Linked DNA regions of Daphnia pulex. The protein of the gene in region 1 interacts with the protein of each later gene in a biochemical or structural test. Links are inferred from orthologs where the notes say so. Each region holds a gene or a part of one and is shown in the gene's direction. Other genes may lie near its edges.

Region 1 (5,017 bases):
GTGTAATCAGTGCAACGGATTAGTGGTGCAGCCGGAGCAAAGGTTTCAAAACTTTTCGCAGTACAGTCGCGATTTGTCGTGTCCCCACTGCGCCAGTCACGATCACCATTTTGTCAAGCCACTGCCTAGCGTGTTCCAGCTCTTCCGATCATCCGGTCGGGATCAACACGCAATCGCCACACCTCCGACTATTTAAAACAAACTTAAAAAAAAATTAAAATAATAAAAAAAAAAGAATAGGCCACACATCGAGAGATGAGAGTTAGGATACAATTAGGTTGATAATTTTACACCTAACCCCCCAAATCCAAAAGTGAATTAAAAAAAATGAAAAAAAAAAATTAAATAATGGATAATAATTTAGCTACATATTTTCGATATAACTGCCGGCTTTTTTTGGTATGTGTGGAAACACTCGGTGCGGCATTTGAGAAAGAATAGGCGACCAATCACATATTTGCTAATAACTTTACACAAAAAACTACAAAAAAATGATAGAGCTTCTTCTTCTGACGAACCCCATAATTTTCTTATTATAAATAGCGATCAAGTGTTTGTCCTTGGTGAAGCAAGAGGATGTGTATTTTCAAGTTCGTTTGAATGTCACGAGAGAGAGAAAAGAACTAGTGAGAATTTTTGCTGTGCAGCAGCAGAATGTTGTGTGTTGTGAACAAGGACCATCCGCCGTTTTCTCCGGTAAATAAACTGGAAAGGGCGGGGTCTCTAGTTGAGTTGGCGCTACGGACCAAGTACAAACCTGTTTTTTCGTCTTTTTTTTTTAGTTTTCACGTGAATTCTGACAGCCAAAGCAGCTGAATGAAATTCCTCTCCCTTTTTTTTTCTAGCTAAAATAATAATGATATATTGAATAAAAAAAGTCCTTAGAGAGAAAAATAAGATGGGATTAAAACAAACATTTAGACAACTCAAGTATAAAAAGCTAGATCAACAGGCTTTTTTGAAATATTATTAATTGTCGTCAATGTTTATTAATAACCACAGAAAATAAATTTCTCGTATGTGCTCTGTGTTTTATTATTTTTCTTTGGTGGAACAATAAAATTGAGAATTTCTTAATATTTTCATATGAAAAATTTTGAAAAAATCTGTTTGACATTTTTGACCTTGAAGAAAAATTAAAAAGACGGTCACGATGGACAAAAATTGGGCTTGCACGTTTTTCTATAAATATATAAGAAAAATAAAAAGCGGTTCTTCTTCTTGTTGTTTGTGGTTTCACCTCCCCTCCGGCAAGGTGGTTGCGTGTGCAAAATGCGGAATCCGCTAGGTGGCAGCACAAGATGTCGGAATTTTCTCTTGAAATTAATATAATTCTTTTTTTTTTTACTAAGAAAAAAGAACAGGAGATTCAGTTGTCAAGTGATGCACACTCATTTTTCTTCCAAGACATTGGGAAATCGCTGATGCGAAAATCTTTTCTGTTCCGCTACGTTCGATTTTTCCACGAAGTTTTACTATTTTTAGATTTTCACCCTCCACCGAAAACCCTTTTGGAAAGCGTAAAAAGTATTTCAACACTGGAAATATTTTGCCAGCCATCAATGACAAACTTTTAATAATAAAAATATCAAATATCGTCAAGCGCCAATAACGCACCAGCAAAAGTTTTCTAAAAAACAACGAAATGTTATTTGACCAAATCCTTTGTAACTCGAGTACCCGAGTATTTGTTCCGCTTGAAAGTTTTTTTTATCACGCACGTTCACGTTCGTTCATATTTTTTTAAAAAGAAAAAAGCGAAATTGCAAATAGTTCCGAAATTGGTCAGAAGAGGCTTCCATCGGCGGGAACGGCGTCGTCGGCTTTGTTTATGGATTCTTTTCGAAACTGCCAGAAATAAAACAAGCACATTTTTAGACAATAACCAAAGTTTGGATACTTGAAATCTGTTTTAACTATCTGTATTTGATCAAGTTAAATATGGCGTCAAAACGATCAGTCGAGCAAATGGATATCACTGAAACTGTGGAACTTTCAGGGGATGACATGGTAATCAGCTTGATACTGCTTTCTGTTTATAACTATAGAATTCTTGGGTTTAAAATGTTTTTTCTCGATTGGCACGTGAAAAGGAGGATACTGCTAGCAGTATTGGCAGTTCTTCAACTTTGGATACTGCCTCAAGGAGTGACACTCCAACTTTGAAACCCAAAAAACGGGGAAAGCCCGGCAGAAAGAAGGGCATCAAAATACCAAAAATCAACTACAAATTTGGGTAATTTGATTTTCGTGTTGTTGAATTCCTTTTAAATTGTATTAATGTTAATTTTTTTAGCTCCTTTATCAAAGAAGATCATGGCCAACCACTTTTCGGTGTCCAATTCAATCACTTGCTGAGGGATGGCCAACCTCTGGTTTTTGCAACTGTTGGCAGTCACAGGATATCAGTGTACGAGTGCCCAGATACTGGAGGGATCAAGCTTCTCCAGACGTACGCAGACCCTGATGTAACTATTTAATTATCTCATCCTGTATAACATCATTTTATCAATCACCATTTATCTAATACAGATAGAAGAAAACTTTTACACATGTGCATGGTCCTATGATGAAGAAACTGGCAAACCCATTCTGGCAGCTGCTGGATCCAGGGGAATTGTTCGCATAATTAGCCCAGCTACCATGAATAGCATCAAACATTACGTCGGTAAGCAGATGACGTTTATTGGAATAATGAAACTCTTTGTACTAAAATTGAGATAAAAATTTTATTTTGAAATAAAAATTAATAGGTCATGGACACGCCATCAACGAATTAAAGTTTCACCCGTCCGATCCCAATCTACTTCTGTCCGTTTCCAAGGATCACGCCCTTCGGCTCTGGAACATAAGAACCGATCAATGCATCGCAATTTTTGGCGGTGTCGAGGGCCATCGGGACGAAGTTCTCAGCGCCGATTTCGATCTGGAGGGTCGTCGGGTTATCTCGTGCGGAATGGATCACTCGCTGAAACTGTGGCGACTTGACACGGACGCCATTGAAAAAGCCATTGGCGATTCCTACACGTTTGCACCGAGCAAAAGTTCCAGGCCATTCGCTACCGTTCAAGAAAATTTCCCCAACTTTTCGACGCGTGACATTCACCGCAATTACGTCGACTGTGTCCGCTGGCTGGGCGATTTCGTGCTGTCAAAGGCATAAATTCTCAATTTTATTTCCTCTTTCGTACGTTCTCAAGCAATTAATGTTTTGTTTTATTTTATGTGTTAATCGTCTAGTCGTGTGAGAATACCATAGTTTGTTGGCGACCTGGCCGTTTGGCGAACAATGGCATACGAGTCATGAACAATAACGCCGTAACGGTACTACACCGATTCGACTATCGCGAATGTGACATCTGGTTCATGCGATTCTCACTGGATTCCTGGAACAAGGTGGGTCTTGATTTTTCAAAGAAATTTAAGCCAGATACCATCTGAACTTTGTAGTGCACCATGTGTTTATTTAAATTTATTTCAATTCTGTTAACTTTTATTGGTCGTTTGGAAACAGGTTATGGCGCTGGGCAATCAAGTTGGCAAGACTTTTGTGTGGGATCTCGACACTGACGACCCCATGGCATCTCGCCATTTAGTTTTGACACATCCCAAATGCATCTCGGCTATTCGTCAGACTGCGTTGAGCCGTAATGGCCATGTATTACTTTGCGTCTGTGATGACGCTACCGTCTGGCGTTGGGATCGTATTCTCTAATCATATATACATACATTCTTTTTCTTCTTCTTTTTTTTTCATTTTTAACAACCTGAATGTGTCAAAAATAAAAAAAAAAAGTAAAAATCACCATAAAAAGAAATTAATTCGATTTGATTAAAATGGCAACGTTGTTGACGTCCAGGGGCTAAACAGAAGTTGGTGTTTCTTTCCTTTCAGCACGTCCATTGAGAGTATCTGGCGTGGTGAGACATATGTGTGTGTTGAAATCTCAGCTTTTTATTAGTTTACTCAGAGAAATTCAACATGCCCAAGAATAAAGGTGAGTTTCAACCGTTCGTGCATCTCCCGAACAGTTTGTTTCAAGTGTTTGTCGTTTGTTTTAATTGATTTATAATTCGTACTTTCTCTTCCGATCCGATTCTGTCTTATTAGGTAAAGGAGGTAAAAATCGCAGGAGGGGAAAGAACGAGAACGAAGCTGAGAAAAGAGAATTGATCTTCAAAGAAGATGGCCAAGAATATGCACAAGTTACGAAAATGTTGGGTAATGGTCGACTTGAAGCTTTGTGCTTCGATGGAACCAAGAGGCTTTGCCACATCAGAGGGAAGCTCAGAAAGAAGGTCAGTCCCGATTGTTGTTGTGGCACTCTGAGTTGTCAATCATCTTTTTTTATTTTATTTTCGACAGGTCTGGATCAATCAGGGTGACATCATCCTGGTTGGCCTGAGAGATTACCAAGATGCCAAGGCTGACGTTATCCTCAAGTACAACGCTGATGAAGCCCGTAACTTGAAGACATATGGTGAAATCCCAGAAACAGTCAAGGTCACAGATACTGTCAACTTCGTCGACGACGGCCTGGATGATGACATCGAGTTCGGCGACGATTCTGGTTCTGGCGAAGACGACGACATTAACGACATATGAACACTTCACTTAGGATTTTCAATTCTTGTTCATAATAATAACAAAAGCTCTATCCGGGAAATTCTTGGATTTTCCATAGCAACATTTCATCGTTCATGAAGAAACCTCTAATTTAGGTTTTTACATCCTAAAGCAGCAGCAGCAACAGCCTCAACATTTTTTTTTTGTCAGCAAAATCAACTACTTCATTTTGAAAAAAGAAAGAAAAATCACGGAAAGATCGACACCCGTTAAAACTTTGTTTGCAAATTTGTTTAATATATCATCATCCATGGGCGGCTTGTATGATTTCAATCTGTCTGTCCTAATAAAACGCTGCGGAAACGACTTTAAAATAAAACTGGTTTTCATTTAGTTGAGATTATGCGTTACGGTTGATATATGTATTAGGAAATGGTGAGGATAAATAAG
Region 2 (4,212 bases), on another chromosome or scaffold:
TTTACCAGCACCAGCTGGAAAGATTTTTATATTTTTTTAAAATGTTGCGCAACAACAAAACTGGGGGGAATTTATTTTTTCTTTTGAAAAGAAAAGGAGAAAGGGAGCAAATTGGCAACTCTCGCCAATTGCTCCTAATATTCACGTGTGCCTAGGCGGTTTTTTGAGCTTCTATATCCCCCCCCCCCATCCTTTTTTGAATGTGAACAAATCACGCTCTTTGCGGTTATTTCGCCGTGCGGTTGTACTGTACGCACAACTACTGTCATTGGCAACCCACCAACAAGCAGGTGCCTATTAGACCGTTGGTAGCCTACACCAAAAAATAAAAAAAAAGGAAAATGAACGCAGAATTCTTGATAAAACTTTTGTGCGACGTTATTTGTTATATATTCAACGAGCAGACGAATATACACAGGGAAATGGGTGCCGGGATATTATTGCGCTGGGCCCCGCCATCGTGTCGCAGGCATCAGCCCGGAAATCGTCCGTGACTTCCTCTTCAATGTGTTACATTTTTTTTGTTAGTTGGACAGGGCGAAAGAGAAACTCTTCTGTTACATACCAGAACTTTTCTTCGTATTGCTGAGAGACATTCCAGCGGACTTTCCCCAATCACCGACTGACAAGACGAATGGACAATAATTATTTAAAAATAAGCACCCCACCAAACACAGTCCGTCTACACGAGGACAGTACTTATGCAACTTTATTAGCTCTTGGACGATTTCAAACGACGTGATTTCCCAGTCAAAAAAAAAATTCTTTCTCTTGAATTTAGTTTTTGTTACGAAATGTGTGAGAAAAGCCATTTGGACTAATATTTTCTAATCTTTATGGTTCTATTTATAATCCATTCAAACTCCTTAGTCAAATTTACATGGGCGGTACATAAATCATATCTGGTGGGAGGTTTAATGATGGACACTAAAGAAAAATTTTGTCAATTAAACGAAGAAGAGATTACGTCCGGAATCAAAGTTTTAACGTGACCTAGAAAAAGCCTAAAAACTGAAATGTCAGGTGAACATTAAATTGTCTGACAGTCAACTTGTGACATTAGCTGAACCTGTGAGTGCTGCTCACTGTTCATACTGACATGAGTAACATCACCTGAACGCTGAGAATTTCCACTTGGGTGAGTTCTCAGACTTTAGGGTTGTACAGTATACACAAAACACCACGCACATGTGATGCATATGGAAATCCAAGTCGGGAATGAGGTGCTGAACTATTTTTTGGTGTCAAGCAAAGATTTCCACAGATTCGTAAACTTTTGTACTGTTAATTTAGTTATTCTAAATCTGGTGTTTTGAGCTTTTTAGAATCTGGACATTTCCACTGTACAATTAATTTTTTTTTCGTTTTTTTTCTTTTTATAAATGTAGGTTATTGTTCATTGTAAATTATAGTAAGAGTAAAAATATAAATGTTCTGGATTTAAACCAATTACGCAGTTCGCCAAGTCGTTAAATAAAACGAGCAGCCAAATGGTTTAATTAGACTCTGCTCCTCCTCCTTGACAGATGTCTAAATATATAGGGCATCATTCGTGTACTGCTGCTGGCTCAGTTTTATTTGACGGTATAATTTATTTCGGCGCAGAAAAGGAAAGGTGGTTCACCTGTTCTTTTCCAGTGTGTATTTATAATGCATTAACATCACATGTTGAAATTGACTCAAGTAAGGTGACGAATTCTATTTTTTGATAGGGAAAAGAGAAACTCCCGACCTCTTTGAATGTTTTTAAGCGCTTTCCACAATCATCGTTGACCAAAGAAAAGTTTTAAACCCAGCGCAGTATTATATTCAGTCTATACGACGCCAATGCTGAAGGTTTCATTATGTCCCATTCGTTAGTAACAATGTAGCACCATATTACCCGAGTGTGTTTGAATGCTTTACGACTTTGCCGCCTCTTTTACACGTATGTAGGTTATTATTTAATAAATCGCGCAATGTTGCAGCGTGCTGCCAGAAAAAAAGCTGTCAGAAAAAAAACAAAAAAATGGCGAATCACTATGAGATTCCAAATTGGTATTTAAACGCTTTAATAGGAAATGTGTAACGTACTGAAATAACCCCGATTTCTTTTTCTGCAGGGCTGGTAAACCGACGACTGGACTTCACCTTGATGTGACCAAAGATGGTAAACTTATCCAGGTAACATGCGTTTGTTAATTGCCGGCTTTGTTGATGGTTTTTTTTACCGGCTTGTATTTGTTTTTGTTCTTCGTGTTTCTTACAGAAATTGATGATAGATCAGAAGAAATGCTACCTCTTTGGCCGGAATCCTCAAATGTGTGATTTTTGTATTGACCATGCATCCTGCTCCAGGGTATGTTGTATCCTTCAAAATTATCACTTTGCATCTTTCGTTAATTTGTCGTCTGTCTTCATGATTCAAAGGTTCACTCTGCACTTGTGTGGCACAAGCATCTGAACCGTGCATTTCTTGTTGATCTGGGAAGCAGTAAGTTTATAACTTTGTCAAAAATTAATTGTTCATTGATCTAAATATTGTTTTCAAATATCCAGCCCATGGAACCTATATTGGTACTATGAGGATTGAAAGTGAAAAGCCTACCCAACTGCCAGTCGACAGCACTTTTCATTTTGGTGCTTCAACTAGATATTACATTTTGAGAGAGCGACCACAAAATGCCCCCAGACCGATCTTGGAAGAACTAGAAGAAGAAGCCAAAAGTGTTCACCAGGATGGAGGGAAACTTGGGCTTCCAGAATCAGAAATGGAGTTGGATGTGAGAGCCTTTTTATATTCAACTTTTTATGAAAATTTCACAAATGTTTGCTTTATCTAGAATCTGACTGAATTCAACACAGCTCATAATCGACGGATCTCAATGTTGGGTATTGCCGACGATGACGCAGGCAGCAGAATTGCCGCAGGCAAGAGAAAGAAGAGGTCGATCACTTTCAATGACGAAGAAGAAGTTATCAATCCGGAAGATATTGATCCGAATGTGGGAAGATTCCGCAATCTTGTTCACACTTCCCTCGTTATTCCTACTAAAGTAAATATTAAATAGTCTTCTAAATTCTGTTAAGTGGTGATATTAATTGTAAGTTTTCTTTCGTGACATTATAGCGGATTAAAAGCGAAACTTTAGCCAGTGGAACGATGTCAAGAGAGAACCAGTTCCACCGTTCTTTGTCAGCCTCGTCTGGAGGAGAAGGGCTGTACGGAGGCCTACCCCCTGAGATGGGTGAATCATCCCAGTCTCATTTAACATCTCAATCCGCGTCTTCTGGGCTCTTCTCTTCGACTTTAGCTTCAAAGTTGGGGCTTCCATTGATGCCTAACCCTGCCCCTGATGTCGATTTGTCCGCCCCAATGGAGCCAGCTGCCGCACCGGTCACTTCCCGGCTCAATGTCGAGTTTACACAACCTCCTGCGGTAGAGTCTGATCCTTCCTCCAACGGGCCCAAGAGAAAGAAATACGCCAAAGAAGCTTGGCCGGGTAAAAAGCCAGCACCCTCACTTCTTATGTAACGACAATTCACACCTCTACAACTTGTCATGTCATCACGTATTTTCCTCCTTTTTTTTTAAATAAAAGAAATTAACAAAAAACAACAACGAGATTTGAAATGATCGGCGACGTTGTAGGGATTCCTTGGAGAGAGTCATCGAAGGTGGTGGTCCTTTAGCCTGTTAAAAATTTTGACGCACGAGACTAATGTACTTTTAGGGATTCCACTGCTGCTGCTGCTGCTGACCGGATATAAGGGGAAGTCGGAGCCTACCCACGCCCTGGATTGCCTCTGTAATCAGCATGGGTCCATCGGCGACTGACGTTGATTTGCGGGTCTGGTTATTAGTGAACTTTGGTGTCTGAACTATTTCTCCCAATTGCTGCCGTACAGAATCCGATCGTGTGAAATCCACAAAGAGGTGAGTCTCTTCTGAAAAAAAAAAAAATCACATCCAGCGGATTGAATAGTTTACACGCGCCGGAATTTGAGCCACTGACGTGTCCGAAAATGGACGAGAAGAAAAGTTGGGATTTCGATGACCTACTGCCCTTTGTAGGCGAATTTGGACGGTACCAGAAGTTGCTTGTGTGGCTGGTTTGCCTTCCGGCATGCATTCCTTGCGGATTTCACGCTTTTAATCAGCTCTTTATGGCCAACGTTCCCGACCACTGGTGCAAAAGTCCGCCGGATGTGGATTCCCAAAACTGGAATTCC

The links.
Region 2: the proteins of polycomb protein eed-like (region 1) and nuclear inhibitor of protein phosphatase 1-like form a complex in vitro, tested with the Homo sapiens proteins (2 studies listed by BioGRID). The link is inferred for Daphnia pulex from reciprocal best matches to the Homo sapiens genes EED and PPP1R8.

Annotation. Positions count from the first base shown.
Region 1 is NC_060028.1:331,561-336,577, reverse strand, and holds polycomb protein eed-like, read left to right. Parts: upstream 1-1,751; 5' UTR 1,752-1,941; coding exon 1,942-2,010; intron 2,011-2,093; coding exon 2,094-2,236; intron 2,237-2,296; coding exon 2,297-2,468; intron 2,469-2,532; coding exon 2,533-2,668; intron 2,669-2,753; coding exon 2,754-3,157; intron 3,158-3,240; coding exon 3,241-3,396; intron 3,397-3,514; coding exon 3,515-3,715; 3' UTR 3,716-3,982; coding exon of another isoform or gene 3,983-3,998; 3' UTR 3,999-4,000; downstream 4,001-5,017. Other genes in the region: headcase protein homolog, read left to right, coding at 2-196; eukaryotic translation initiation factor 1A, Y-chromosomal-like, read left to right, coding at 3,983-3,998, 4,112-4,299, 4,367-4,606. UniProt on the Homo sapiens protein: Polycomb group (PcG) protein. Component of the PRC2/EED-EZH2 complex, which methylates 'Lys-9' and 'Lys-27' of histone H3, leading to transcriptional repression of the affected target gene.
Region 2 is NC_060026.1:2,726,754-2,730,965, forward strand, and holds nuclear inhibitor of protein phosphatase 1-like, read left to right. Parts: upstream 1-1,961; 5' UTR 1,962-2,008; coding exon 2,009-2,037; intron 2,038-2,102; coding exon 2,103-2,163; intron 2,164-2,248; coding exon 2,249-2,338; intron 2,339-2,409; coding exon 2,410-2,473; intron 2,474-2,538; coding exon 2,539-2,762; intron 2,763-2,822; coding exon 2,823-3,035; intron 3,036-3,109; coding exon 3,110-3,514; 3' UTR 3,515-3,519; downstream 3,520-4,212. Other genes in the region: carcinine transporter-like, read left to right, coding at 4,006-4,212. UniProt on the Homo sapiens protein: Inhibitor subunit of the major nuclear protein phosphatase-1 (PP-1). It has RNA-binding activity but does not cleave RNA and may target PP-1 to RNA-associated substrates. May also be involved in pre-mRNA splicing.